Linked DNA regions of Oryzias latipes. The protein of the gene in region 1 purifies or fractionates together with the protein of each later gene. This does not show direct contact. Links are inferred from orthologs where the notes say so. Each region holds a gene or a part of one and is shown in the gene's direction. Other genes may lie near its edges.

What was found.
Region 2: the proteins of pds5a (region 1) and smc3 purify together in Homo sapiens (affinity purification with western blotting; 8 studies listed by BioGRID and IntAct, with this or other methods). This does not show direct contact. The link is inferred for Oryzias latipes from reciprocal best matches to the Homo sapiens genes PDS5A and SMC3.
Region 3: the proteins of pds5a (region 1) and cdca5 purify together in Homo sapiens (affinity purification with mass spectrometry; 4 studies listed by BioGRID and IntAct, with this or other methods). This does not show direct contact. The link is inferred for Oryzias latipes from reciprocal best matches to the Homo sapiens genes PDS5A and CDCA5.
Region 4: the proteins of pds5a (region 1) and smc1a purify together in Homo sapiens (co-immunoprecipitation; 8 studies listed by BioGRID and IntAct, with this or other methods). This does not show direct contact. The link is inferred for Oryzias latipes from reciprocal best matches to the Homo sapiens genes PDS5A and SMC1A.

What each region holds. Positions count from the first base shown.
Region 1 is NC_019859.2:13,081,482-13,089,424, reverse strand, and holds the start of pds5a (sister chromatid cohesion protein PDS5 homolog A), read left to right. Parts: upstream 1-3,165; 5' UTR 3,166-3,294; intron 3,295-3,323; exon of another isoform or gene 3,324-3,512; intron 3,513-3,859; exon of another isoform or gene 3,860-3,878; intron 3,879-3,952; exon of another isoform or gene 3,953-3,969; intron 3,970-4,174; 5' UTR 4,175-4,212; coding exon 4,213-4,326; intron 4,327-7,943. UniProt on the Homo sapiens protein: Probable regulator of sister chromatid cohesion in mitosis which may stabilize cohesin complex association with chromatin. May couple sister chromatid cohesion during mitosis to DNA replication.
Region 2 is NC_019859.2:36,692,128-36,699,312, forward strand, and holds part of smc3 (structural maintenance of chromosomes protein 3), read left to right. Parts: intron 1-107; coding exon 108-258; intron 259-689; coding exon 690-842; intron 843-3,020; coding exon 3,021-3,172; intron 3,173-3,274; coding exon 3,275-3,433; intron 3,434-7,185. UniProt on the Homo sapiens protein: Central component of cohesin, a complex required for chromosome cohesion during the cell cycle. The cohesin complex may form a large proteinaceous ring within which sister chromatids can be trapped.
Region 3 is NC_019869.2:20,008,152-20,015,281, forward strand, and holds cdca5 (sororin), read left to right. Parts: upstream 1-2,726; 5' UTR 2,727-2,845; coding exon 2,846-3,634; 3' UTR 3,635-4,306; downstream 4,307-7,130. Other genes in the region: psmb2 (proteasome subunit beta type-2), read right to left, coding at 1,849-1,919, 2,006-2,128, 2,511-2,601. UniProt on the Homo sapiens protein: Regulator of sister chromatid cohesion in mitosis stabilizing cohesin complex association with chromatin. May antagonize the action of WAPL which stimulates cohesin dissociation from chromatin.
Region 4 is NC_019865.2:11,928,906-11,936,090, forward strand, and holds the end of smc1a (structural maintenance of chromosomes protein 1A), read left to right. Parts: coding exon 1-35; intron 36-152; coding exon 153-338; intron 339-454; coding exon 455-634; intron 635-1,619; coding exon 1,620-1,766; intron 1,767-1,897; coding exon 1,898-2,035; intron 2,036-2,123; coding exon 2,124-2,240; intron 2,241-2,321; coding exon 2,322-2,428; intron 2,429-2,509; coding exon 2,510-2,651; intron 2,652-2,748; coding exon 2,749-2,894; intron 2,895-2,975; coding exon 2,976-3,129; intron 3,130-3,214; coding exon 3,215-3,322; intron 3,323-3,457; coding exon 3,458-3,614; intron 3,615-3,703; coding exon 3,704-3,858; intron 3,859-3,962; coding exon 3,963-4,114; intron 4,115-4,208; coding exon 4,209-4,278; intron 4,279-4,390; coding exon 4,391-4,501; intron 4,502-5,073; coding exon 5,074-5,154; 3' UTR 5,155-5,803; downstream 5,804-7,185. Other genes in the region: dihydropyridine-sensitive L-type skeletal muscle calcium channel subunit alpha-1, read right to left, coding at 6,599-6,874, 6,997-7,071, 7,152-7,185. UniProt on the Homo sapiens protein: Involved in chromosome cohesion during cell cycle and in DNA repair. Central component of cohesin complex. The cohesin complex is required for the cohesion of sister chromatids after DNA replication.

The sequences.
Region 1 (7,943 bases):
CTTCCTCCACCAAAAACAAGATCTCTACGTTTGTGTGACGCATTTTCAACTTTCTAATAACATAATAGACTATTTTCATTCATCGTTGTTGTTTAATGATATAACGGGACGTTTACTTCCGCATTGGTGTTCGGATCTGATGACAGGTTCATGACGTAAGGTGACAGATGAACTTCAGGGTTTGTGAATGAAAAGGAGAATAAAAGCTGCAGCGATCCTCTGCACCCAAACGTGTCTCTGAGCTCCTTATTTTACAGATGAAACTCCGCTTTACTGACACTGAACCCCGGAAAGCCGGCTCCACTGACAATAATCTGATTTTGAGTCGCCAAAGGTTCAGAATCTCTTTGTTTTAAACCTATAATCCGGAAATAAAGCTTCACAAAAAGCCGCCACATCTTTCATCTTCAAGCGATGCTCCGATAAACGCACAACTTCGGTGTTTTCTCCTTGTTAATCTATGACCTTTTGTAAAAAGAAAAAAGTCATAATTTTCCTTTTTTTTTTTTTTTGGGGTGGCCCTTAAACTCCGTCGTAAGATGGGTCTTTAGCTTTTTCTTAAAAACTTTAATCCGGCTCTCAGGCAGACTGTTCCATAAACGGGGGCCATAGTCAGTGCTTCTCCGTTTTGGTCCTTACGGTCGTAATGGTTAACAGATGAGTGCCAGAGGATCTCAGGGTCCGCGAGGGTTCATACCTTACTAAAAGATTAGATAAATAAGAAGGCGCAAGACCGTGAAGACATTTAAAAATGGTGAAGAACATCTTAAAATCAATCCTGAAGCATGTGGGGAGCCAATGCAGGGATTTTATAGTTGGGGTGATGTGAGCCCGCCTCCTGGAAGACTGGAAGACCAGCAAGCAGGCCGTTACAGTAATCAGTTTTACTCATGATAAAAGCATGCATTAGCATCTCCATATTAACAAAAGAGAGTGGTGGGCGGACCGTAGCCAGATTTCTAAGGTGATAAAAACCAGTTTTAACCACCTGTGTAAGAGTTAATGTTACAGTGTTCGATTTGTGCCACCGTGTCAGTAGGAACTGTTGGGCATTTGGTCCAGGTGGGCTCAGCTGGCTCGCCATCAGCAAACGGAATGAGAATTTTCCCAGGTGGAAAAAAACCTGGCCTGTATAAAACAGGAACAAATACTTTTTTAAAACATTGAATTATGTTTCAAAATCATTCGATGACAATTCGTTTCCTAATATGCATATTTTTCCAAAATTGAATTTATCTGATTAATTACAATCAAATGAATCACCACAACATAATTCACAATAATCAACATGCGAATGATCAATTGTTGATTATATTAGAGTACTCATAATTACATTTATACTAAAAAAAAGTTTCTTATAGTTTTCCAGTCATTTCCTTTTGTGTTTTACCTGACCACAAACCGAGATCAGCAGACGCCTGGCTGCACCAGCTGACACACACACACACACACACCCAAAACGGCGTCACTTACCAGTTAAAGCATAAGAAAAGCGCGCGTAGATTTGACGTCTCAGTGGTGCAGGGCGTTGCAGAGCAAGGACTTTGCCGTTGGCTCCCGAACGTATGTCGCCTGTCAAACATCCCCGCCACTGATTTATAATAGAACATACACGGAAGTTGTCTGTGAAATCACGTTCTGATATATCGCGATATCTCCAGAAAGTGCGTCTGTGTGTGCGTGTGTGTGCTTGTGTGTGACAGCTTAAAGGGACAGTGCAAATTAAAATTCTGAAAGGCCTTTTAATTTACTGCAGTTTCTGGAAAGTGCATTTTTGTACAACAGTTTATGTTTTTTATTTTGTGAGATTTGGAAGCACGTTTTTGTTTTTTTTCATTGTTTTCTTAAGGAATAGAATAGGATAGATTAAAATACAATAGAATGGAACTTTTATCACAGACTAGAGGGCCACATGTCAGCACAATAAACAACATGTAAGTCATACAGCAGAATAAAAATACAAAATTAAAATACAAGTAAAATGTAAATCACAAACTTAGAAACTTAAAAGCTAAATTACTTTAACACCCGCTTGGTCTTGGAACTTTGTGTTTTTAACAAGTTCTTGTGGCATTTTTCTCATTATGGAGGACTATAGAAGACTTTAAGATAAAAATTTCTTCTTCAAATCTGGATGAATAAGGACAATTCAGACGAAAAAAATGCTGTTTAAAAAAATCTCTTTTGTCCACTCCATTCTGATGCATCCACTTAAAAAACAAATACATATATTAACGTCTTTGGTTTCCTCGGCTGAGCTGGTATCTAACTCAAAACTGTACGGCTGGATACCTCTAATATTGCTCACCGTTGTTGCTGCACTGCTAATGCTAGCGTGGGGTTGTGAGGAGCTGTAAAATGGCATTAGAGAGTGTAAACAAAGGGATGATGGGATGTCAGCAGAGGCTTACAACTCGCAACTCAGAGGTGAAGTTCTGATGAACTCCTACCGCTCTGCACAAATTTTATCCTATGACAGAGGCTTATTCTATTTGGTTTTGCATAAAAACAGCCTAATCATCAATAAAGAGCACTGGGGACACTTTTACTATAGACCAAAATGGTGGGACTGGAAGGGCTTCTATACTTGTACCTACAAATTGGGGATGGCTAACAAAGAGGGTTAGAATGATTTCATTAGGATTACATCAATGCACATGTCAAAGGCACATTAAGTCAGATTTTTTTGTACATTCTACTTTTATGTTTTAGTACTTATCTCAATTTAACATTGTCCTGTCTTTTTTTTTTTCTTATATTGATGTTTTTGGTCGGATTCCAGGCAACAGGAAAAAACTTTGAGATGTAAGCAATTTTATTGAAAAATGAACAGGAAATAAATGTATTTGGTTGATTTCTGAGAGAAAATGTATATTTTTAATCTGCATTTGTTTAAAGGATTTAAAGGATTTCTCCAATAATGCAGTGTTGCACTTTGTTATAACCTCTTTCATTTGAAGTAACACATCACATGTGCTTAATTGTAAACTCAGTCGTAGTAGGTATGTCATTGTTCTTCCAAATATGTAAATTTTCCTGGAAGATCCTTCTGTAACCGTAAAACATAATGGATGTCTGTTTTTTGGAGTAAATAAATGATGTTCTTCCGTCTTCGATGAATCCACAGTGGCGCTTTCTCCCGCCATGTTTAGGGAACTGCACCACTCCTTTGAGACCGAGGGGGGCGCTGTGTACTCAGGCTTCACATAGACAGCGCTGACTGAACGGACAGAGAGCTTTGTGCCGAAAAACTAAGCCCAACCTGAATCAGACCAATGAATTAAAACGGCCCAGGTAAATACTTTGGAAGGAACGCTGGACTTGTGTCCCGGGATGCAGCATTTGATGGTTTAAAAATAGACTCATTCTGTATTTGTTAAGGTGTTTAAAATACTCCGTGGGGCAAGTTGTTGAGAGAGAGGAGGGCTCAGGGCGACGGTAGCAGCCCTGCCTCGCCTGTAAACTAGCGGTAGTACGGAGCGATGCTGGGAAGTTGAAAAAGACCTTCACAAGTAAATAACCTCAATTTTCTAACTTCTAAAAGTATCGGCATTAGTTAGAAATCACAGGAATTGAGCAGGATCGTGGCTGTTTTAAACAAAGATGAGACGATACTTCACTTCCTCTGTGATTGTATGTAGACGGAGATGTGATGGGCACCTGAACAGTTTGCGGCCTAGGCTAGCATCGGAGCGCTGCTAATGGGAATTAGCAGCTAACACGACTTCCTTCCCGCAAAATATTAGCCTGTGTTGTTAGCACTTCTAGCTAGCTAATGTAAGAATCAATATGACAGGAGCTAGACACCGGCTCCTGTTGTGTTTTTTGTAATTGCCGTTTTTATCCGGACTGCTTTTATATGTGTGTGTTTTTAAAGTGTAAGCGGAACTCCTTTCCCTATCTAAACGGAATTTCACGAACGATTTGTAAGAGCATAACTGCTGGTGTTTAGCTGGGGAAAATTAGCATGTAAGCTAATAACACACGCGATCCTTCTTCAGTGGTGCTATTTTTGGTCTAGGTGAAGGGATTTAATGTAATTTATCATTTGAATGTTGTTTTAGATCTTTTAAGAGGAAACTACAACGAGTGGCACACACTAGTCTCCCTTAAAGATGTGTTTTAGTAAGTGCGGTAGCATGGTTGTATTGAAGTAATGTTTTTTGACCTATAGAGGCCAGTAGAGACCGTGTGGACTGAGCATCAACAAGCATGGAGTTCGCGCAACAGCAGAAACCCACGGGGGACGGGAAAGTAGTCTATCCTCCGGGAGTGAAAGAGATTACGGATAAAATCAGCAATGACGAGGTGGTGAAGAGATTGAAGGTACGTTGATGAGATTTTACCCTTACGACCTATGACTTTGTCAAAAGTACTCAGCCTGTGACTCAGTGCCAAGATCCTCCTGACTTTGTGAACTTCCCATAAATTCTCTTTCTTTCTGTGTTTTGTAACGAAATCATGTTTTCAGTCTAATGTTGTGGTGCCCAGACTCTATGTTTATGTCAAGGTTTTACCTAAAACTATTCAGTGTTAGAATCCTTTCCTCACATTTATTTTTACACTGAAAGCTCAGTTCGGATGTTGAATAGCAGCAGCAACACTAATACAAATTTGTTTAGCTATTAAATAATGATAATCTTGTAATCTCATTTAAAAACGTCATTTACAATTATGCAGTTTAGCTCAGATCCAAAAACGTATGTTGTCTTCTAGGACATAGTTTCTGCAGAACGACAGTAGTTTATTGAAAATGCACAAGAACATGTTAAAAACACAATTTAACCGGTTAAGACCCCAGAACATGTAGGAATTAACCCTTTAAATATGTAGTCACAGCGCTCCAGTTTAACAAAATTAACTACTGTGGTTGTATTTTTAAAATGTGATGTCCTCGCATGTGATCCTAAGAGATTAAGTGAGAAAAGGGCAAATTGAGATTGTTCAAAACATAAACTTCAAACTGTTTTTTGACATTCATGTTATGAGGACAGGTATTATTTATGGAGAATAAAAAAGCCTATATCTTGTAACAGAGAAATTGTGTCACAGATTTAAAACTAATGGCATAAGCTGAGATCAGACTTTATTGATCCCCGGAGGGAAATTTAGTTGTTACAGCAGCCAAACAAGAAATATAACCGTTAAAAAAACAAATAGCAAGAGAAAAGACAGACGTAGTAGTGAAAAATGGTGGTAAAAGTACACGTCCTAATTGTACAGTTTAACTGCTTTTGGGACAAAGGACCTCCTGTAGCGTTCCTTTTTGTACTGAGGGTGCAGCAGTCTGCGGCTGAACAAGCTACTCGTGGTCCTCACCATCTCATACAGAAGATGAGAGGGGTTGTTCCGGATGCTGGACAGCTTGGTCAGCATCCTCCTCTCACCTACAGAGTCCTCTGAGTCCAGCCCAGGACAGAGCTAGCCCTCTTGACCAGCTCGTCCAGTTTCTTCTTGTCCCTGTCACACACCATGTCATTTATTTGAACACCTTTAAAATTGCTTAAATGATAAAACTCAGAGTGTAGCAATCATGTAACGTATGCTATAAATACATTGTTAAAGCTGACTGACTTTTCCATTGTCCGAATCAGACTGGTATGTTAGATTTTGAGAATTTATTGCTTCTTGTTGTGCTTTCTTGTTTATAGTTTAGTTAAAAAAAGTGTGTATCTTATGAAGTCCCTTCCTAGACACATTGACAAACCAAACCACCTTTTCAGTTCAAATTTTCACCATAGTATGTTAAGTTTTTAATCAACTAAAGGCTAGTTTTCATACAAACACTCACTGTAATAAGAGGCTACTTACTGGTTAATGCAGACTCTCCCTGTCTGCCTTGACTCTATGTTCTAAATCATGGGTCCCCAAATCCAGGCCTCGAGGGCCGGTATCCTACATCAACGGTCCCCAAACCCCGGGCCGGGGACCGGTACCGGTCCGTGGGTCATTTGGTACCGGTATGGTAGGGTTTCTGGAAAACCAGCAGGACACCGGCCCTCAAGGCCTGGATTTGGGGACCCCTCTTCTAAAGGGAGGGGGTGTCCCAGTTTTATTGTGGAAGAAGGGAAGTGCTATAGCCTTTCAAAAGAATTTAAAGTTTTGTAGTTGTATGCAAAATGAGAGACATTAAGAAACTTTTGTTTTTCAAAGTCCTCTTTTGATAAAATAATTCTTCATTTATCTAAAATTTATCAGTAAATTGAAGATGGAGTACCTTCAGATCAGAATATTGAAAGCAAATTCAAGACTTAGTTTTAATTTTTGCATTTTTATCCTGTCATTCTCCTATTAAAAAGAGTGCTAAAATGTGTGCATAAGTCTCTACATCCTGTCTGTGAAACCCGAAGATCTGGATTAAGAATCTAATAATGCTAGCCGTCCCTGTAAGACATATGTGCACTGTTTCATGTTAAACTCTGTACTCGACAGTTGTTCTTCTGCATTTGCATTCAGCCTGCATAGAAGCGCTTCAGTCACACATTAAACTAGGAATATGAAATGCTTTGCATTTTGCAGAATTCTCTTCTTTTTGTTTTTTTTAAAGAACGCTATGGATTTAATCAGTAATCTCTTGTGTAAATTAAACAAAGGTAGTAAACGTGATGTGAAAGGATGGTATACTTGCACTTTATAAATATAAAATAAAAACAAACTGAACTTTAATACAGCATTTGCAAGAACAAACAAGATTGATTTGGGAGCCTTTTGTTCAGTGACGTTTCTCAGTTTTTAAATGGATTATGGCATTAGAGAAGAGTCAAATGTCATTTGATTTGCCAGTGTTACATTTACAGCAGTAGAAGTTGTTTTCATAAAATGCAGACTAACTGGCAGGATCCTTATGCGACGATCTGGTTTGATGCCAAAAGTGATTTGCAGATGGAAGCGGCTACATCTGGGCTTAAAAAACAACAGCAGGCAAAGCAATAGAAGCAGACACCGTGACATAACATTATTTTGCTGAAAATTTCATTTCTGCCAGAGCAACAGGAAATGAAACATTGAAAACATAAATACACCATGTATCTACGTTATGACTCATGTCTATGTAAATGTTTGTGCACGTTTACATGAAATGCTGCGATTCATTTCTTTTGGTTATATTTGGTACCCGGTGTAGAGAACTGAAGTCCTTCAGTGCTGCTGCTAGTCATATAATAAGAGGATGGTTACATTAGTTGGTGGTGGTTGAGCAAATCAGTGTAACAAATATTTACCCACTAAGAATCGGTGGGGAATATTGAAATCTAGGCATTTATGGTGATTTTCTTTTTCCATACCTAATAGTGTGATTTCCATGTTGGAAAAATACGAAAGAAAGCTAAAAGGCATAAAATAGCTTGGATGCCTGGTATAATTTAGAATTCAGCGAGTCTGCGGCCTATGGCTGTTATTTAGCTGTATTAGTGGAAGTGTCTGTCGAGGGACTGAACGATTACAGGATTGATTCCCTAGTCTGCACTTACTTTTAAAAAGGAAGATCAAGTCTTTACGGGTTGCAAAGGGTTTGTGGGAAAATATTAGATTGGTTCTCAAGTTGCCCCTTAGTTTATTCTTTTTTTAAATTGATCTAACCTATTAACAGGCCAAATACCACCACTTCACTCATGCTTCTTACCCCCCCCCTCCAATCATACATACATCCCAGTAGGGATATGAAACCTGAGGTACCATTCATTCCTATTCCCAGAGCTATGGAGCATCTACAACACATTCCTTACAATATGATGACGCAAACATTTAGCAAATGGATTTGTCTTTTATGCTCTATGATGAAAGAATTATAGAAACCTTATAGAGTTTGGATTCTTAAATGCAAATATTATAATTTGAATCTTGTGCAAAATAAAAACCATTATTGGCTCATGTTTCTGTTTATGTTCAAATCTATACAGGTATAAAAAACTTTATTGAAAGGATGCTGATTACAGTGGCGATGA
Region 2 (7,185 bases), about 24 Mb from region 1:
CTAGTTGGATGCTATAATAATGTTGTGTAGGACTTGGTCGATTCATTGCTTACCTTTAGACCTTAAGGTATAAATGTGTTTTAATCTGAACATTTCTGTTCCTAAAGGATGCCATCCCCATGATCAGCAAGCTGCGCTACAGCCCCAACTTTGACAAGGCCTTCAAGCATGTGTTTGGAAAGACCCTAATTTGTCGCAGCATGGAAGTTTCCACCCAGCTAGCCCGAGCTTTCACCATGGACTGTATCACTCTGGAGGGTGAGCTTTCCGTGCACTTTATTCTTCTCACACATTAATGGATGCTAAAGGCTTCAGTTTTGTCTTGAGATAGAGACCGTTTTTTCAACCGTTTTGCCAATCGTGATTCTGCACGGTCGTGCTTTTGCTTCATTCTTTTTCTTCCTTCCAACCGCTGATCTTTATAACTCTTGTCTTTTTTAACCTCTGCTCTTTGGTGGGCTTCACAGTCCCTCGGTTTTCAATTTGTATGTGAAAACCATCTTGATTCACCTACAAGGGATCTGAGACGTCCATGTTTTAGGCCAGACAGAAAAATACATGTATTTTCTGATTCAGAAGAGCTTTAAAAGCAGATAAACTCTGGTGTGAGGCGAGCAGTCATGTGAAAAAGTGATCTGAAGATGGTTTTATGGCGCTTCTGCTTCTTTACAAATGTGATTTGCCTCTAGGTGATCAGGTCAGCCACCGTGGCGCTCTGACTGGAGGCTACTACGATACGAGAAAGTCTCGCCTAGAGCTCCAGAAAGACATGAGGAAGGCTGAGGAGGAGCTGACTGAGCTGGAAGCCAAGCTGAATGAAAACCTGCGCAGGAACATCGAACATATCCTTTATGAAAGGGCAGTCCGAAGCCCGTTCACACCTAACGAGCATTCACCTGCACTGGTGTGACGTCCACTGCTCTGAGTTACAGTCAGTGTTTGTTTCAGGCAGACCGGCAAACATCTGTGTAGTCATTTTAAATGAAGTTCCTGCTAACTCACAAACCTCTTCTTTAACTTCTAATGGGCTCTGTGCATTCACTAATAATTCTTATAGATTTAGCAACGTTTTTCCTGAGCAGCAAATCATTTCTGTACAAAAGAACCAAAAATGTTCCCTTTTTTACAAATGAACATTTTTACTTGTCAAGAGGTAGAATTGTGCATAACTCTTAGCACTGACTATATGTAGAAAAGCATTACACCGAACATTTGTACTTACTGTAAACATCAATACTTGTACTTCAGTATAGAAGTACCTGGTACTTCAGTACTTACCAAACAAAGGTATAATGAAGAAAACAGTTGCACTCTGTGTTGCTAGGAGGCCTCCGTGATAGACCGCCGTTCTTTGGCTCGTGTTTCCAGCTCGGTTCTCCCGCTTTAACGCTGCGGCACAACTGGATGGTGACGCTGGAGATGCTGCTCATGTTGGACGTGTAGCAAAGCTGCAGACACCTCTTTCATTGTGTTTGACAGCAAACTCCACCCTGCAGATGTGTGTGCCGGGGGCACGTCTTCAGTGTGTGAATGTGTGTGTGCATGGGTGAATGGGACTGTGACTGTAAAGTGCTTTGGGCCTTCGAAAGAAGGTAGAAAGTGCTTTATAAGCATATGCCATTTACCATTTGCTTCAAACATTTGTCTCCACTCCATCAATATCTCCATTGTTCTCAGCATGAGCTAGCAGCTAGCACTAGTTCTGCTGCTCTGGTCCCTGGGGTGGGGCAATTAGTGATTTGGTAATTTCTTGAGGGGAGGGGGGCGTCTGTTTATGTGGCTGTTGGAGCTAAAAGAGCGATGGCAAACGACACACAGAGAAGTACACACTTAATGCACTGAGGAAAACTGCTGTGAAGGTCGTACTCTGCAGTTGGGTTTTATATTGTTGCATACAGACCACCAAACAGTCACATTTGCATATTTGGCTGTAAAATTTAGGCTGTTTTTAACAACAACAAAAAACTTGCTCTGTGTTTTAGGTTTTGGATGACAAGTCCTATTAGTAAAATATAAAGTCTTTAGCTCCAGGTTAGAGAAATGGAATTTGCAGAAAAGGAAAGTTGTCCCAGCGTTTGCGTTTGTGGCGTGTGGCGGTATCTTCCATGGAAGCTCATGAGTATAGAAGGCAGAGCGTCATCACTGGGGTGATTTCTCTCAGCGGAAGCTTTATTTTGAACAGGGATTACATCCACTGGAGTTATGTCGCTGCCTCCAAGCCAGCAGGAAGAAGGCTTAAGCAGGTCAAGAAGGATTAGTGTGTCCTGGGCCATATCTGCCAGAACCATGACTCATTTCAGGACAGCTCCTGAAGGAAAAAACAAGGGGATCAGAGAGGGTTTCATTTGGGTTTCTGCATGTGTGGTGGGGTTTTCTCTTTAACTGAGCGTCAGAGGAAAGAAACCGTTCAACCTGGTTTTCTGTATGTCAATCAGGACGTAGTGATAGAAGGTCTTTTCTAGTCATGTTGAGTCTGACAGAACATTCAGCCCTCTTGCTCACAGGACTCAGCTGTCCTGTTGATAAACGGGCGATTGAGACTATCCTCCCTATTTTCAGCTAATCAGGTTTGACTCTATCCATAACAGTTGTAAGCATTGTTACTGTGAATGACTGGAGATGATTGAAATCACATGTTTTTATTTGTTGTTATTTTGCATCGTGACTCTTCTTAGATGGGATTTATTTGGTCATAATTGCTTTACAGAAGTTGCTTCTGGTCTGCTGGTTTCATTAACATTTAATTAGAAAAACAAGGAGGACAAAAGGAGGCCTTCTGTGTTTTTGCTGCTTGTCACATTTGTGTTGTTAGTGTTTGTTTTGGTCATTATTTTTCCTCTGTGGAGATGGTTTTATTTGTAGGAGTGATGTGGAGAAAGACTTCAGGGACGTGTTTGAGGAGCTGTCTGCTTCACATGACGTAGAGGCTGGAAAAACCAGTAAGCCATTAGAACCATGGAGGCGCATTAAGGGGGAGCTGGTACAGTCACATCCGTCGTTCTCCTTAACCGTTGCTCCACGCATCAACAACGAGATTGACCAGCTGATGAATCAGATGCAGCAGATCGAGACCCAGCAGAGGAAGTTTAAGGCATCCAGAGACAGTATTCTGTCTGAAATGAAGATGCTGAAGGAGAAGAGGCAGCAGTCAGAGAAGACATTTATGCCCAAGGTTGTTTCCTTCATTTATTCTTAGTGAAACTTTTGGTCAACATGCACATTGTTGCTTTGTTTTGTCATGTTCGTGCTACTCATCATTCCTGTCCTTCTGCAGCAACGCAGTCTCCAAAGTCTGGAGGCCAGCCTTCATGCCATGGAGTCCACCAGGGAGTCCTTGAAGGCTGAACTGGGTACAGATCTCCTCTCTCAGCTCAGTCTTGAGGACCAGAGGCGTGTAGACGACCTGAACGATGAGATTCGACAGTTACAACAGGTCTGCAGATGCAACCGTCCACGTCTGTGTCTTACGTTCATTGAAGGTCTTGAGAAAAATGACCACCAGACTTTTTCAGGAACAACCGTCGTGTTTGGCGATGATGGAGAGCCTGCAGTTTTGGGGATTTAGACCGCAGCGCTCTGTGATATAGTAGCCCAGTCTGTGAGCGGCAGACATGGTCTCCAGGGTTCCAGTGGGGTCTCAACAAGTCCTTTAAAAGCTCTAAACTGGCTGTTCAAATTGTTCTGTTTTATGTTGCACTTTGTTCAAACTGAATCCACCGAGAAAGTTACCTCAGCCTACTGGGTTCGCACTCCAGACTCTTTCCCTCCGTAAAATACTGTCTCGCTAACAGGTGCACTAATATTGACTTATGAGCATCAGATATAATGAGGCCGCTTTAGAAAATGCTCATCACTTCACCGACAGTCCAGAGGGGGCGTATTTGAAGCGAGCTGCTCCTCCAGCCAGTACGCCCATGAAACGGGTTCTGTGTGGCCCGAGAAGAACTGGACTTTTAACTGGAACTGGTAGAAACCAGAGAGAAAACAGTGTCTCAGTTTATTGACAGTGGGAGACTGGAGAGGGAATGCTTCCTCAAATTAATGTAGGTTTCTTATTTTTAATGCAGGATTAGTTGACTTTGCGTGTTTTCCCCGTGTACGCGTGGGTTTTCTCCTGGGTCTCCGGCTTCCTCCCGTCCAATAACATGCTTCATAGGTTAATTGGTCACTCCAAATTGTCCAAAGGTGTAAATGTGAGAGTGAATGGGCGTGTGATACGTGTGACCCTGCGACGGACTGGCGATCTGTCCAGGATGTCCCCCGCCTTCGCCCATAAGTGGCCAGGATAGGCTCCAGCAGCCCCATGACCCGAAAGGGACAATGGAAGAAGATGAATGAATGAATGAATAGTTGACTGTGTTTCAACAGCTGCTATCTGGCTCATTGCTGTACAGCTGGATAATCCCAATATTACTCCCCATAATGTCAGATTGGGGTTCGAGGGGCTGAAAGCTAGTGGGAGAGTGTAAACAGAGAGCTCTCAGCAACAGAGAGGGGAAGAGTGGGTGGGGTTTCTCCATCACTACAGTCTCGCCCACAAAAGGAGAGGATAATTTTTGATGAACATCTGCCACTCTGCAGAAACTATGTCCTAGAAACCGACAGGTTTTTAATTCTAGCTGAAAACGGCTTCATCATAATGAAAAGACCCCTGGGAGCGCTTTGAAAATGGATCAAAGTTGACCGGAGTGGGACTTTAGCAATATTGAAACATCTGGGGATTAAACGTTAGCTCCGTAAAGAGCTGCAGTGACCACCTTTGTTGCTCCGTGAAGAGCCGCAGTGACCACGTTTGTTGCTCCGTAAAGAGCCGCAGTGACCACGTTTGTTGCTCTGTGAAGAGCCGCAGTGACCACGTTTGTTGCTCCGTAAAGAGCTGCAGTGACCACCTTTGTTGCTCCGTGAAGAGCCGCAGGGACCACCTTTGTTGCTCCGCAAAGAGCCGCAGTGACCACGTTTGTTGCTCTGTAAAGAGCCGCAGTGACCACGTTTGTTGCTCCGTAAAGAGCCGCAGTGACCACCTTTGTTGCTCCGCAAAGAGCCGCAGGGACCACGTTTGTTGCTCCGTAAAGAGCCGCAGTGACCACCTTTGTTGCTCCGTAAAGAGCCGCAGTGACCACGTTTGTTGCTCCGTAAAGAGCCGCAGGGACCACCTTTGTTGCTCCGTAAAGAGCCGCAGTGACCACGTTTGTTGCTCCGTAAAGAGCCGCAGGGACCACCTTTGTTGCTCCGCAAAGAGCCGCAGTGACCACCTTTGTTGCTCCGCAAAGAGCCGCAGGGACCACCTTTGTTGCTCCGTAAAGAGCCGCAGTGACCACGTTTGTTGCTCCGTAAAGAGCCGCAGGGACCACCTTTGTTGCTCCTTAAAATGCCGCAGTGACCACCTTTGTTGCTCCGCAAAGAGCCGCAGTGACCACGTTTGTTGCTCTGTAAAGAGCCGCAGTGACCACCTTTGTTGCTCCGCAAAGAGCCGCAGGGACCACCTTTGTTGCTCCGTAAAGAGCCGCAGTGACCACCTTTGTTGCTCCGTAAAGAGCCGCAGTGACCACGTTTGTTGCTCCGTAGAGAGCCGCAGGGACCACCTTTGTTGCTCCGTAAAGAGCCGCAGTGACCACGTTTGTTGCTCCGTAAAGAGCCGCAGGGACCACCTTTGTTGCTCCGCAAAGAGCCGCAGTGACCACCTTTGTTGCTCCGTAAAGAGCCGCAGGGACCACCTTTGTTGCTCCGTAAAGAGCCGCAGTGACCACCTTTGTTGCTCCGTAAAGAGCCGCAGTGACCACCTTTGTTGCTCCGTAAAGAGCCGCAGTGACCACCTTTGTTGCTCTGTGAAGAGCCGCAGTGACCACCTTTGTTGCTCCGTAAAGAGCCGCAGTGACCACGTTTGTTGCTCCGTAAAGAGCCGCAGGGACCACCTTTGTTGCTCCGCAAAGAGCCGCAGGGACCACCTTTGTTGCTCCGCAAAGAGCCGCAGGGACCACCTTTGTTGCTCCGTAAAGAGCCGCAGGGACCACCTTTGTTGCTCCGTAAAGAGCCGCAGTGACCACCTTTGTTGCTCCGTAAAGAGCCGCAGTGACCACCTTTGTTGCTCCGTAAAGAGCCGCAGGGACCACCTTTGTTGCTCCGTAAAGAGCCGCAGTGACCACGTTTGTTGCTCCGTAAAGAGCCGCAGGGACCACCTTTGTTGCTCCGTAAAGAGCCGCAGTGACCACGTTTGTTGCTCCGTAAAGAGCCGCAGTGACCATCTTTGTTGCTCCGTAAAGAGCCGCAGGGACCACCTTTGTTGCTCCGTAAAGAGCCGCAGTGACCATCTTTGTTGCTCCGTAAAGAGCCGCAGGGACCACCTTTGTTGCTCCGTAAAGAGCCGCAGGGACCACCTTTGTTGCTCCGTAAAGAGCCGCAGTGACCACGTTTGTTGCTCCGTAAAGAGCCGCAGGGACCACCTTTGTTGCTCCGTAAAGAGCCGCAGTGACCACCTTTGTTGCTCCGTAAAGAGCCGCAGTGACCACCTTTGTTGCTCCGTGAAGAGCCGCAGTGACCACGTTTGTTGCTCCGTAAATAGCCGCAGTGACCACCTTTGTTGCTCCGTAAAGAGCCGCAGTGACCACCTTTGTTGCTCCGTGAAGAGCCGCAGTGACCACGTTTGTTGCTCCGTAAAGAGCCGCAGGGACCACCTTTGTTGCTCCGTAAAGAGCCGCAGGGACCACCTTTGTTGCTCCGTAAAGAGCCGCAGTGACCACCTTTGTTGCTCCGCAAAGAGCCGCAGGGACCACGTTTGTTGCTCCGTAAAGAGCCGCAGGGACCACCTTTGTTGCTCCGTAAAGAGCCGCAGTGACCACCTTTGTTGCTCCGTAAAGAGCCGCAGTGACCACCTTTGTTGCTCCGTAAAGAGCCGCAGTGACCACCTTTGTTGCTCCGTAAAGAGCCGCAGTGACCACCTTTGTTGCTCCGTAAAGAGCCGCAGGGACCACCTTTGTTGCTCCGTAAAGAGCCGCAGTGACCACGTTTGTTGCTCCGTAAAGAGCCGCAGGGACCACCTTTGTTGCTCCGTAAAGAGCCGCAGTGACCACCTTTGTTGCTCCGTAAAGAGCCGCAGTGACCACCTTTGTTGCTCCGTGAAGAGCCGCAGTGACCACGTTTGTTGCTCCGTAAATAGCCGCAGTGACCACCTTTGTTGCTCCGTAGTCA
Region 3 (7,130 bases), on another chromosome or scaffold:
CATCCAAAATTACTGTCAAACATATGCAGACTGCTACCAACGTCCATTATTTCATCATCTTAGGCACATTTTTTCTGGGTTAAGTTTCACCTTTGAGATTCCACAAAAACCAATTCAGCACAAAAAAAGGGAAAAATACAGATTTAGATAAAAACTATATCTGCTCAAAACATAAATGTATAAGAAAGAAATACCCGTAGAGGCTGCATAATCAATAAAAAAAAACAGATTTGCAGATATAAATACTAACCTCCCCATACAATTATTTACTAAAATGAAGAAAAAAATTCCCTAAACAATGAAAAACGCACTAAAAATGTTAACATAGTTCTTAAAAATAAAAAGGGGAAATAGTGAAGAAGCTGAATAAATTACACTGGTTTTAGAAACCAGTGGCACAAGGACAGCACTGAGTAGCTATAAAGATTTGTCCAAATTGTTAAACTAAAATGGTATTGGTTTCTAGACCTGAGGGTTTCCTTACACTGGAAACAGAATCGAGGAGGAAAAACGTTCAAAGCTCATCTGACAAAACCTTTTCTGGATGAGAGACTAAATCGGACTCGCTGAGGTTTTGGTGATTAAGAGTGCAGAACACCACATGATGGTTTTTATGTTTCACAGCGCAAATCAGTTTCTGTGGATTTTAGCGATGCAGACATTTCTGGATTCACAAGCAACGTATGTGACTTCAAAGCTGTGATTCATTATTGTAAACTTCAGGAGGGACCTCCATTATTTAGCGTTTAATGCTTTGGTTGATTTTTCTGCTGTATATCTTAATTACCAGGTGCGTTCAGACATTCTGGAAACATTCTTTTTATACATCTGTAGCTCATCTTCATTTGCCACAGATGTAGATGTTCTCCTAAAAATGTATTTTTTAGAACCTGACTTGGGAAATGTGACACAGTGTGTGAATTTTTTTTTTAATCTACAGGATAAAAATCTTCTTTTTGGTAGATTTCTGTCTGAAATCTATCCGAACTTCAATATTTTGAAGAAACTTTGAAACTGGATGAGTTCAGACGCTCGATGACTTTGACAGGAATTAGCTACTGATTTTTATCGGCACTTTTCCTGAAGCAATATGAGATTGCTGTTCCTAGAGGATGGATGTAATTTATTCAGAGGAGAAATTAAACTGTTCACACAGTCGCTTTTCCTGGATGAACACGGGGAAAAGCTGCAGACGTTAACGTGAGGGTCAAAGACGGGGGAGAACGCCACAAGTGTGGCAGATGTTCAAATGGGTTCCTTTTGACAGTGCAGTTCAGTCCACATGAGCAGGAAAGGGTCACTTAGGCAGGATTACACAAATTATGTTTTAGATTAGATGTGAATAGATGAATTCCTCACAAGCTGCAACAGAAGACACAAACACTTGCAATCTTGACACACTTTTAACCACCACCAATCAATGTAGTTTTCCTATTTTATATATATATATATATATATATATATATATATATATATATATATATATATATATAGTAGCTATATGTGTTTTTCTGACAAAATTGTATCCTGTTGTTCTGTTAGATCTCATAATAAAACCCCTACATGTTTCTTTTTGTTAATTTTTACAATCATTTTTGGAATTACATGCTTTCAAATTGATTTTTTTTTTTTTTTAATTTTAGTAAGAACACATCTTTTTGTGAGTGTTAGAGATGCTATTGGGTAAGACATCCGTCCATGGGGCCCTAATACGTTTCCCTAACAAAGTTAATTCAAGCAACACCCCTGAAAACGAGTACAAAATTCAAAATGTTTCTCTAGTGTTCAGTTTCAGGAAATGTTTATCTTTAAATGCTAAAAGTGTATTTTGCTCTCATGCATGGTTACCCTGCTCCGTAGGTAGTCTGCCAAGTTCTTCCGTGTGAAGTTTGCTGCTGCAGATGGACTCAGTTCGTAACCTTTAGGGGAGAAAAAGTTTCATCAATGACTTGTTCTGATCCCCTGATGAACCACAGACAGCTGCTCTGTGTAGTTTCCATCCTACCGTTCCTCATTTTGTAGAGCTGGACATTCTTCTGGATGTACTCAGCAAACTGCACCGTGTCTCCTGCTTCTCCCACGCACAACAGCAGGATCTTCTCGCTCAGTTTGAACATTTTATCATAATCTGGTGGATCAAAAAAAAAAACACCTTAGAACTTTCACTTTCACAGTTAGCCTGCATGAGGCTGCATAATCTGCTAATTTTAGAACAAAACCAATTATACAGAAAAACACCAAAAACTCAAATCGGGAGCAAAACTGCACCGATTTTTAAGCAAATATCCGCAAAAATAATTTAAATCGAACGCAGATTAGTTTCATTGGTTCGATTATTTGATATAGTGTGGCCAAGTATAAGAAACCAACAACAAATTAACTGTAAATTCGGAAATAAAAGCTTGATTTAACCAGATAAAATCTCAAAACGCTTTGAACTTTACCCCCCTAAATCTAAAATAAAAATCGGCGGAGCGGCTAATGCTACAGCTAACGACGAGCTACTTTACCGTGTTTCATTTGGATTATGCTGCTGGCGGCCACATTATCGGCGGCGACGAGAACAAAATCTGGTCCCTGGATTCCGATTAAATATTCCATCGTGAAAAACGCGAATAAACAAAAAAATGTAAGAATAATTCGAGGAAGCAGCCGCGGACAGCCGGGTCTGCTCAGAATATTACACAGCAAAAGTTCAGCTAGCTGCCTGTCGCATACTGGTGACGTCAAACCGCGCGACTTGGGCGGGCGATTTGAAACGCGGGAGTGTTTTTGTTGTGTGTCACCGAGCGGAGGGCGTCCGTCATCGGGGGAATTTTGAGGTTACAGCCAAGCTGTGTTGACCATGAAGGAAGGGGAGACTCACAGCGTGATGGTGGAGTCCAACCGACACATAGACCCGCCGCGGAGGCGTTCGCCGCGGCTAAGTTCTACCCTGCAACCGCCGGGGAAGATTGACACAAACATGGCCGCGCTGGAGGCCGTCCCGGTGAAACGGTCCATCACTCTAAGGAAAATAGCTCCGAGAAAAACCGTTACCTCCGCGGAGCAGGACAAGGAGAACACACCACGGCGAACGAGCAACAGACTAGGGCAGAAAAAAGAGGTGTCCACTCCTGACTTGGTCCCAGACCGCAGGGCCTCCGCCATCTCTTCGGCTAAGAAGAAGAAACAGGCCTCGATGCCGTCCCCGATCTTGCCTTCCTCCCCGCCGACCTCAAACCCCGCAGAAAAGCCGCCAGCGACCCCGGAGGACGCAGAATGGGCGCGAAAGGTGCGCCGCTCCTACAGCAGACTGAGCGACAAGTCCCTCCACAGCCCGGACTCTCGCGATACTTTGTTCGGCTTCCAGCATCTGCAGACACCGGAGGTGAACCGGGCGGCAGGGCAGTCCAGGAGCGCTCTGGAGCTTTCCTCCATTTCTGCCCTGAACTCTTTCACGTCTCTGCTCGATACCGACGCCGGCGGTGCGGCCGAACCGGACCCGAACATCCCTGGAGTGGCTGTGGTGAAGGAGAGGAAGAGGAGGCGGAAGAAGGTGGCGCCGATCGACGGCGTGGAGCTGGACGTTCTGGTCGCCCAGATGAACGCGGAGTTCCAGGAGGCGGAGGAGTTTGAGCTGGTGGTGGAGTAGAAACTGGCTCTACTCAAGCCCAGGGGAAGCTTCTCAAGGACTGTGATAAAAATAATTCAAGAAAATGTTAAAAATGTCCAGATATTTTTATTCCTTCACTTGGTGTGAAATAGTTTTTAAATACATTTTCAGTATCACATTTGCTAGTCGTTTGTAACTTCAGTTTTTTTGGTTTATTTAAACCGGACTTTATCCTTTGGCAGAATTTAAGTGCTAAAACCGTTTACTGAGGAGCATTTCCCCAAGAATTACGTTTGGAGCTAAAAGGCTTTTATTCTGAAATGAAGCTTGAAAGCTTTTATGCAAAAGTCTGGAGATAAAAAGCTTTGAGTCGTAAAATTGGTGCTGAACAGCTCTTACTTTGAAGTTTGAAGATAAAAAGCTTTTATTCTGACGATTGGACTTTAGAAACATTTATCCTAAAGGTTTTGACTGGAGACGCTTTTATTCTGCAGTTTGGATTCTCTTTTTTTTTTAACTTTCCCAAATGTTTTTAGAGAAAAATAAAGTACATGGCATCTGTAACCAGCACTTTTTCCTCTTTAATTTTGTTTTTTCTTTCTAGTTTAAGAGAAATCCATTTAAGGTTGTTTATATCTTATATGTGTCTTTTAAATACATTTCTTCTGTTCTGTGTATTTGAATAAAAGCAAACATCTTTTTTTAAACATACACTTTATTTTGTTTACCCTTATTTGTACAGTTAAAGAGTTTTAAATTATATTAAACAACAATTTTTTAGAACTTTGCAGTGAAATATCAACTAGCTGCAGAAGGAGATGACACAGGAAATATGAACAAATAAACTATAACATAGCTAAAGAATTCAACTGAAAAGCCTTGAATGGCCTTTCATCAGATCCTGTCTCAAACTGTTTTTGTGAAGCTCTGAAATTGATCAGTACTGTAAATATCCTACTCTATGTTTAATTTAACCTTATGGCAATCAGAGCGAGCATGAAAACCCGTTTTCTAACTGTACATATGACAAAAAAAAAACTTTGAATCCTTTCAATTAAAAAAACTGAGGGTGAAAGGTCAAAAGCAACTGTAACCCTATAACCAATCAAAATCGTTTTTTTGCATAATATCCAACTAAATTATACAGTTTTGCTTATAGCAGCAAAAGTCTAGAATCAGGACTTTTATTTCAAGCGAAAAAATAAAACCAAATGCATCAAATGAATTTAGATGTACAGTCACAAAATGATCAGATGATAAAGAAATATGTAAATCTTACTAAGAGAAAATTAAGATAAACACGTAAATGCTCACACAGAAAAAAATGCTTTTTTTCATCTGCTCCTGTTTACAAAGAAAAAATCTGGATTGGAGTTTTCAGGTGACGCAAAGACTGATGGTTTTTGGGGGTTTTTCAGGCAGCTTTTAAAATTTTGAGCCCTGAAAGTCACAAACACGAAGTGACAAAATATAGTAAAAATCACAAGTGATTGACAGATCTATCAAATATTTTGAACAAACGTTTCTCTTTTCATCAATTCCCGGCTTTTATCATCTGCTGTTTGTGACTTTCAGACACTTGAAGACCGTCCAGTTCCCACACCGCTGTGGTTGCAGAGGTGCTGCTGGGACGGCTCAGCCGGTCGAATCAATGAGAACAAAACTGTTGACTGGAAACTGAATCAGGTCAAAACACCAGAGTGTCACTGTTCCATGAGTTTGTGTCTTTTTGTGTGTACAGGCTTCACAAAGCATTCTAACTAGCCCCCGCTCTCTCCAGCGATGACAAACTGCTGACTTAATGAGAGTGCAGAAGTTTTTTCCTCCCTCTTAGGTCTCTGAGGAGAGCAGGGTGTCATCCAGACTAACAAGACTCATCTCACTAACCGAAGCTCCTCGGATCAGCTGTCAAGGTGTGAAATGCCTGCTTTTTAATGACGTGTTAATAGCTTCGCAGCGGGATTGATGTCAAATCCATCAAAACCGAGCTGTTGCCGACATGTCAATCGCTGAAGCCAGCTCTTCCTTGCCGTGTTGCACTTGTCCGGCCTTCGCTTCGGCGTTTCTGATGTAGTATGATGCCGTTTGCGGGTCACGAACTCTAGGTCTCACCTAGAGTGTCACCTTTGACACGAACTTCAACCCAACAACAATCTTGACAAGGTCTCCAGGAACAATTAAAAATATACAGGAATTTGACTCCCCGCCTGCGAACTTGACTTTACAATCATTTTTTAGCTTTGACACTCTAAGTGAAGCATCGATAGGAGCAGATGCCCAGACCATAATAGAGCCTCCTCCGTGTTTCACAGTAGAGTCAGTCTTCAGAACAACAAGAAGATGTTTCCAGTTTTGTGTCACCTGTCCAAAGAAATTCTCCTGGGTACATACTGACTTATAGATATGCATTGTGGAAAAATATACCGTAATTTATTTTTCCAATAGTTGTGCTCTTTTTGGTAATTTCCACAAACCCCACTTTGGATCAAACAACTCCCAATGATCTGATTCAACACTGATGAACTTTGACCTTAGAATGAATCTGTAAGGGCTTTGATGGTCATTCTAAACCTTCTGGTTTTTGTCCGGATTTTTTTCCTCAGTTTCCTCTTGCAATCCTGTTCGTGGAGTTTATCTTCACCCCCGTGGACCCCAGCCTTCTGAATAATCTGAGCAGCTGCAGTCACAGCAACCTCAAGTTGTTTGTGTAGATGTTCACACAGTCTTTACCTTTAACATCTTTGGTGACGTATCACAAACTGAATCACAAACCACTAAGAGGAGCTGGCTGCAAACATCAACGGCCAGAATGAGAAGTTCTCAACTGGAACTGGAAGTCACTCCATATTGCTCAAAAAAACCTTTACTTTAACTGGCGACCCTAACAGTAATTGAGTTTCCATTACCTATGAGATTGCGCAAACTGGAATTGGGATAGTAATTTTGCCTAAGTGAAACTGTGGAGATAATTCAGTCTCAATAATCAGAAATGCACACAAAGTGTTTCACAAATACGTATTTATGCAAACATGTAATATGAATTCACAAATCCAAATGAAGTGTTTCACGAATACACACAAACCATTTCACAAACATAATTTTGAGGTACACTTGTAATATAAACTCACAGATCATACGAATTACAGAATGTGCATTTATGAATGTGAGAGAAATGTGTGAAATGGTGAATATTGAGACTCTTCTAACGTGCCAGGTCAACAAATGTCATCATTGGCTAATGAATCTATATATACATGACACACATTTAAAAAAAAAGGGTTTTGAGCTTGGAGGCGTATTGGTATTTGAGGCGTATCGAAACGGACATATTTTGCAAAACTGCAATGGAAACACTTCTTTCAGATTCACATGACCACAGGTAGCCAGTTTGTAGACATTGATGGCAATCTGCTTCTGCACAGTTGGCGCCACCAGAGATCCCACAGAATCACACTGCTCTCCAAAAGTTGAATTGTTGGATCCACAGCTCCTCTGTAAAATCACCAACCAACATTTCCCAAAATCCCTCCTCTCG
Region 4 (7,185 bases), on another chromosome or scaffold:
TGGAGAGTATCAAACGGCTGTATCCTGGCTCTGTGGTAAGCAAGCTTTAAAAGCATTACTAATTCTGTAATGACTTATACAGACTTAATACAGGGATATACAAATGAACAGGATTTACTATGAAGTCATTCTTGGACCTTTTCTTGTTTTAGTACGGCCGTCTGATTGACCTGTGTCAGCCCACTCAGAAGAAGTATCAGATTGCTGTCACCAAAGTGTTGGGCAAAAACATGGATGCCATCATTGTTGACTCTGAGAAGACGGGCAGAGACTGTATTCAGTACATCAAGGAGCAGAGAGGAGAGCCTGAGACCTTCCTTCCTCTCGACTACCTCGAGGTGAAAGTGATGACACAGATGAAAGATAAATGATTTGAAGTTTTTTGTCCATATCAATATTGATGAACAACAAATATACATTCATTTGGGTTTTCAATGCTATATTTTTGTTAAAGGTGAAACCGACAGATGAAAAACTCAGAGAACTGCGAGGGGCAAAGCTGGTGATTGATGTGATTCGCTACGAGCCGCCCCACATCAAGAAAGCTCTCCAGTACGCCTGTGGCAATGCTCTTGTATGTGATAATGTAGAAGATGCACGAAGAATCGCTTTCGGAGGCCCTTACAGACACAAGGTACTTTACATGAGAAGAAATGATTATGCCTATGGAATTTTTCCCACAGGTTTAATGTTCAGGTTCACTGTTTGTCGATGACTCTCAATTCTATCTGTCTGCCAAACCTAATTCCATACTTCCACCCCTCTTTCTTACCAACTGCCAATCTCACACCTTCAAACCACTAAACAGTGATAAAACTGAGCTCTTGCTCATTGAAATCCCATCTATTTCCTCCAAAACAAAGTTTTTTCTCAGAATTCTGATGGTTCTTCATTCTCCCTTCTCTTTGGGTGAAGTTTAGTTGAAGTTTTGTTCTTGACATTACGTTATCTTTCCATTCTCACATGAGCAACGTCACTCGGACAGGTTATTTCCACACATGTAATATCAATGTCTCAACCTTGCTACTTCCCATCGTGAGTTTTGTAAGTCCCCCATCTTCCCCAAAAATCTCTCCATAAACTCCAGCTGGTGTAGAACTCAGTAATGTATATCACAACAATAAACCCTCCTTTTCACTGCTTCATCTGTTCGACATCATCTGCTTTGGCTCCCAGTTTTTCAAAGAAAAGAATATAAAATCCTACTCCTCAACATCCCACTCTTCCAAACCCTTTAGAATTTCCTCCTCATTTCCATTCCCTCCTGTTTGTCTCAGGTACTCCGCCTCCATCACCTCACTGTTCCCTCTGCCCCCCTCAGAGCCTTCAGTTCTTCTGCTCTTTAAATCTTGAAGTCCAGAACATGATTCAGTTTTACTTCAAGTTGAAGTCTCAAACTCCCCCATTCCAGTTTTCTCTCTGTGATTTGATCTGCACCGTCTTTGCTTTGTTTTGTGCCGAATTTTATTGTGTGTTGTACGTGTTCATACTCTTTATGGTATCCTTGGGCATTTTAAAATCTGCTTTTGAGTATAATAAATTATAATAATAACTAAAGTTGGTCCATCTGAGGATCCATTTGTGAAGACTGCTTTTCTCCTTTTGTCTACTCCTTCCAGACCGTCGCTCTGGATGGAACTCTGTTCCAGAAGTCTGGAGTCATCTCTGGAGGAGCGAGCGACCTGAAAGCCAAGGCCAGACGCTGGGATGAGAAGGCAGTCGATAAACTCAAAGAGAAAAAGGAAAAACTTACGGAAGAGCTTAAGGTTAACTTTTAGTCCTGCAAGTTTTTATGTTTGATTCCGGGTGTTTTGGGTGTATTGATCCAGCTGTGAACAGCTGTTGGACGTTCTCACAGACTTCAGTTTGTCAAACTTTAGATCTCATCTTTCTGTAGGAGCAAATGAAAGCAAAAAGGAAGGAGGCAGAGCTGCGACAGGTGCAGTCTCAAGCTCACGGGCTGCAGATGAGGCTGAAGTACTCTCAGAGTGATCTGGAACAGACGAAAACTCGACACCTCTCCCTCAACATGCAGGTACACTCTGGTAGTGATAAAGTTTGCATTGTTTGCACGTTTACTATTGGTGTTGCATCAAACTCTCTTTTTTTTGTGTGTCCTGCAGGAAAAGTCTAAGCTAGAGAGCGAGCTTGCAAACTTCGGCCCTCGCATCAATGACATTAAGAGGATAATCCAGTCCCGTGAGCGTGAAATCACAGACCTCCGCGATCGGATGAACCTGGTAAGGCTAAGAGACTGAAGTTCACTCAGAAATCCTTTTGGAAACATGCAGAGCACCGACTTCTTTGTCTTTGATTCTCAGGTGGAAGACGAGGTGTTTATTGAGTTCTGCAAAGAGATTGGAGTGAGGAACATCAGAGAATTTGAGGAGGAGAAAGTAAAGAGGCAGAATGAGATTGCCAAGAAACGGTGAGTTCTGTTGTCCCGTCAGTTCTGTGGATGATCAGCTGTCCTGATTCCTTCTTTTAATCTGACACTTTTATTCTTCAGTCTTGAGTTTGAGACCCAGAAAACTCGGCTGGGCATCCAGGTGGACTATGAGAAGAACCAGCTGAAGGAAGATCAAGAGAAGGTCATGATGTGGGAGCAGACTGTTAAGAAGGATGAAGCGGAAATAGAGCGACTAAAGAAGGTAGCAATCTTTAGTAAAAAGTTGAAATTGTCATTTATTCTGCTAATAGATTCATTTGAACTTAAATGTGAAATTGTTTTGTGTGATTTGTTTTCAGGAGGAGCACAGGCACATGAAAATCATCGATGAGACAATGGCTCAGCTACAGGATCTGAAAAACCAGCACCTCACCAAGAAATCTGAAGTCAACGATAAAAACCATGAAATGGAAGAAATTCGCAAAAAACTTGGAGGCGCTAACAAGTTTGTAGCTAGATTTAGCATTTCCTCAGTGTGAGAATGTTATTTTGTATTGCACCACAAACCTTTTCTTTTTGTTTCCAGAGAGTTGACCCAGCTCCAAAAGGAGGTGACAGCCATCGAGACCAAACTGGAGCAGAAGCGCAGCGACCGCCACAACCTGCTGCAGGCCTGCAAAATGCAGGACATCAGGTTGCCCCTTCGCTCAGGAACTATGGATGACATCAGCCAGGGAGAGGTACACGGACATGGTCTTCATTCTGTCACTTTAACTGGATTTGAGAAAGAGACGGGAAAACATTGTTTTTGCTCTGCGGCTGCAGGGAAGCTCTCAGACCGACGAGTCTAGCAGTCAGAGGACATCGAGCAGCGTTCTGGCTAAAGAAGCTCTTATTGAGATCGATTACAGCAGCCTGTCTGAAGACCTTAAGGTAAAACGTCTAAACAGTGTGTCTGTGTGGAGCCAAGACACTCATTCTCCATGCCAGCACATTAAATCTTATTTATTTGTTTATGGTGATTCTTTTTGTAAATTTCACATAAACACGCATCCTTGCACCCCGTAGGATGCTCTGTCAGAAGAGGAGATCAAGGCGGAGACAAACACACTCCAGCAGCGTCTGAATGAACAGCAAAGCATCCTGCAGAGGATCAGTGCTCCCAACATGAAGGCCATGGAAAAGCTTGAGAGTGTCAGGGACAAGTTCCAGGAGACCAGTGATGGTGAGAGGGAGTTGTCAGATTTTAGACTGTTGTCAAATAACTTATGGGAAAGGGGATACATTTGACTCATTTTGTTGTTTCTTCTTCAGAGTTTGAAGCTGCTCGTAAGAGGGCTAAGAAAGCTAAGCAGGCCTTTGAGCAAATCAAGAAGGAGAGGTTCGATCGCTTTAACACTTGCTTTGAGTCCGTGGCCACCAACATTGATGAGATTTACAAGGCACTGTCTCGCAACAGCAGCGCCCAGGCAAGTTTCCTTAGAGCACGCAATACATGATTCCACTCGTACAATACTTATACTCGTAAAAAATACTTGTAAAACAACGTTTTTTCCTAAATCTTCCCCTGTAGGCTTTCCTGGGCCCAGAAAACCCAGAAGAACCGTATCTGGACGGCATCAATTATAACTGTGTGGCTCCAGGAAAAAGGTTCAGACCCATGGATAATTTGTCTGGAGGAGAGAAGACTGTTGCTGCTCTGGCTCTGCTGTTTGCTATTCACAGGTGATTGAAATTGAGAATCCAGAAACACAGAACATGTGTCATCCTCTTGTAAAACAATAATCCCCTTTTGGACGTCCTTCCCTCGTGTCTGCAGCTACAAACCGGCCCCCTTCTTTGTCCTGGATGAGATTGATGCCGCTCTGGACAACACTAATATTGGCAAGGTCTGTTCATGTTTGATTCACTGCTTTCTGCTTCTTATTCAGTGTTGTTTCTCTTGAAACTTTTCATTCTTGTTGCTCATCTTGAAGCTGGGATTTCTTTTTATCCTTAAAGGTGGCAAATTACATCAAAGACCAGTCTGTGCAGAACTTCCAGGCCATCGTCATTTCTCTGAAGGAGGAGTTCTACACTAAGGCAGATTCTCTCATTGGTGTCTATCCAGAGGTGCGGTTTTTTATCATTACTTTTCAAATAACTAATGCAAATAGATGAGTGCCGTAGAGCAGTGCTCCCCAACCTTTTTCAGGCCACGGACCAGTTTGATATCAGAAAATATTCTCACGGACTGGCCTGTAGGAGGCTGAAGTAGTATCCAATATTTTCTTAGCCTCCAGTTTCCCTCAATTTTTGAGGGTAAATTTTATCTTTATCCTTTGTAAAATATCTGCAGCTGGTTTCAACTTTAGCCAGTAGCCGATGGCCTTTTGAGATGTGATCGAGCGACTTGAATTACGCTAAGAATGAGTCGGATGTGGTTGGGAGAATCCAGTAGTTTTCCAAAATAAAAATTTCTGTAGAATCATATTATAAACAAAGCAGATAAAAATCATAAGTTGTTTATTTTGTTCTCTCTCTGCGGCCCGGTACCAACTGTCCCATGGACCGGTACCGGCCAGCGGCTCAGGGGTTGGGGACCACTGTCACAGAATGATTATTTTAGAGGCACTGCATTAAGCAGAGTTAATTGCTGTTACCTTAGACTAAAACCACAAATTACATTTTCTGTCTGTTCACAGCAAGGAGACTGCGTCATCAGCAAGGTGCTCACCTTTGACCTCTCCCAGTATCAGGATGCCAATCCCAATCCAAATGAATAATTCAGGCTTCTCTATGTAACAATTTTGAAAGTTGGATGTTTTGCTCTGAGGTCAAATCATGTACTGGATTTCTTTTCCTGTTTTTTTTCTTCCTTTTCTGTGTTTTTTTTTATATATGCTAGTGTGATAAACGTGTCTTTTTATTGTAGGTATTTTCTTCGTAGGCAGTAAAAATCAACATGTACATACATTATCTTAAAGCAGCCCTTCTTCAATTCGGCCATAATGGTTTAACCAAAAGTTATCATGAAGTGAAATCCAGCTCCAGAGTTCTGTGGTTAACACGTTTGCAGACTTTTATACGGCTTATGGCGCCGAATTTCAGTGATGCTCCTGAAATCTCCTCTATGTTCTTGTTTATACCAGCAGGCATTTACATTTCATGTGTGCTATTTTTTTTCTAGTGCAGCAGAAACATTCCCTTGTGATAATGAAATAAACATTTAATTAGCTTCAGCTGGCAGCCCTTGAATTAGATAACAAAGCTTAGCAAATCTGCATAAAGCAGACATTAAATATGGAGAGAATCTTCCAGCTGGACGATTACCACAAGTCTTGTTTGTGTTTGAGGAACAGCGAGTCAGCTTTTGATAAACAAACATGTCTGCTTTGATTGATTGCTTCAATAAATATAATTTGAATAATTTAACCTTGTTTTCGTGTATCTGTTACTGCATTACAATTTAATTTAGAAGGGGAAGTCTCATTAGGTTTTATTCATAAAGAACACACAAACTTGTTTTTTGTTTTATGTTTTGCGTGTGAAAGCGCAAAAGTGACATCAAATGGCACAAAGTGAGCCTTTATTAGGAGGAACTGCTCAAAGCTAGCAGTATTTCCAGCCAAACGGGCACAGTGGCAGACAGAAAAAAACGACAAAAGCCCTGCTAACTGGTCAGCATTTCAGTACCAAAGATGAAATGAGTGCAAAACATTTTTCTCAGGCTACTATAAACAACTTTATTTGCTCATATTACATAAAAATTACTAGTTTTCTGCAGAGGAAACAAATTTCAAGTTGAAAACATCCTAACATAAGCACCACGTCCCCTCTTAGATTTCTTCCACATTCATCGTAAAACTTTTCCTCAAAGTGCAGCTCATTACAAGTTGCTGACTTTTGTAGAAACACTCTAAGTAGACATTTCTTCACTGTCCTGCCTCCCTCCCTGAGTCTTCAGTAAGACGCCGTTTTCTCATAATTGTCTCTTCAGTGGAATGAATAAACCTAAATGTTTACTCCAAGAATAAAGGTATAGTTAAGCTCTCAAAATCAGAAGGAAGCTTTATCAAATTTCTACTTTATTGAGCTTCTCCCATGTTTGTCCATCTGTCTTTCAGCCTTGAGCCAGGCTAACGAATACAGACGAGCAATGGGACATCAAGCTTCGTAATGTTATGAGTAGAACTGTCATCAATTCAACCACACTAACATAACCAGCCTCTAAACTGCAGAATCTGCGTCTGACTTTTTCTGGCAAGCAGTTGTGGGAATTGGACGTTTCTTTCTCCGAACAGCCGGATCCGGCGGACCTGTGTGTTGTGCAGCAGCAGCAGGTGCTGTGGGGGGGGCAGGGACAGGACGTCTCTTTTTCTTGGAGCGTTCCATGACGACGTCCTGAGCTGTCCCTTCCATTTCATCTGCAGCCATCTCTTTCTTTGTTACAGAATCAAAGCTTGGGTTTCTGGCCAAGGAGTCAGCACCTCCTTTTACAAAAACCTGGGGGAAAGCAGGCAAACAACACTGGGATTCACACCTTTTTCTTCTTTTCAAATAGTAAATTAAGCTCAAACTCCTCCCACAAATGTCAAAATAAGAAACAGAAGTGGGAAAAAATTCACCTCCTGGAAGAGTTGATCAGCTGCTGTACTGGAGCTTGGATTCTGGGTGTCTCCGTAGCTGTGATCATAAGGAAACTGCGACGAAATCACACTCATGAGTTTGCCATTTTAGTTCCATAGAGAAATCAATCTGCTTTTTTGTTTGTTTTTTGTACGTTTACCTGTGTTCTGTCTGAGCTGACAGGAAAT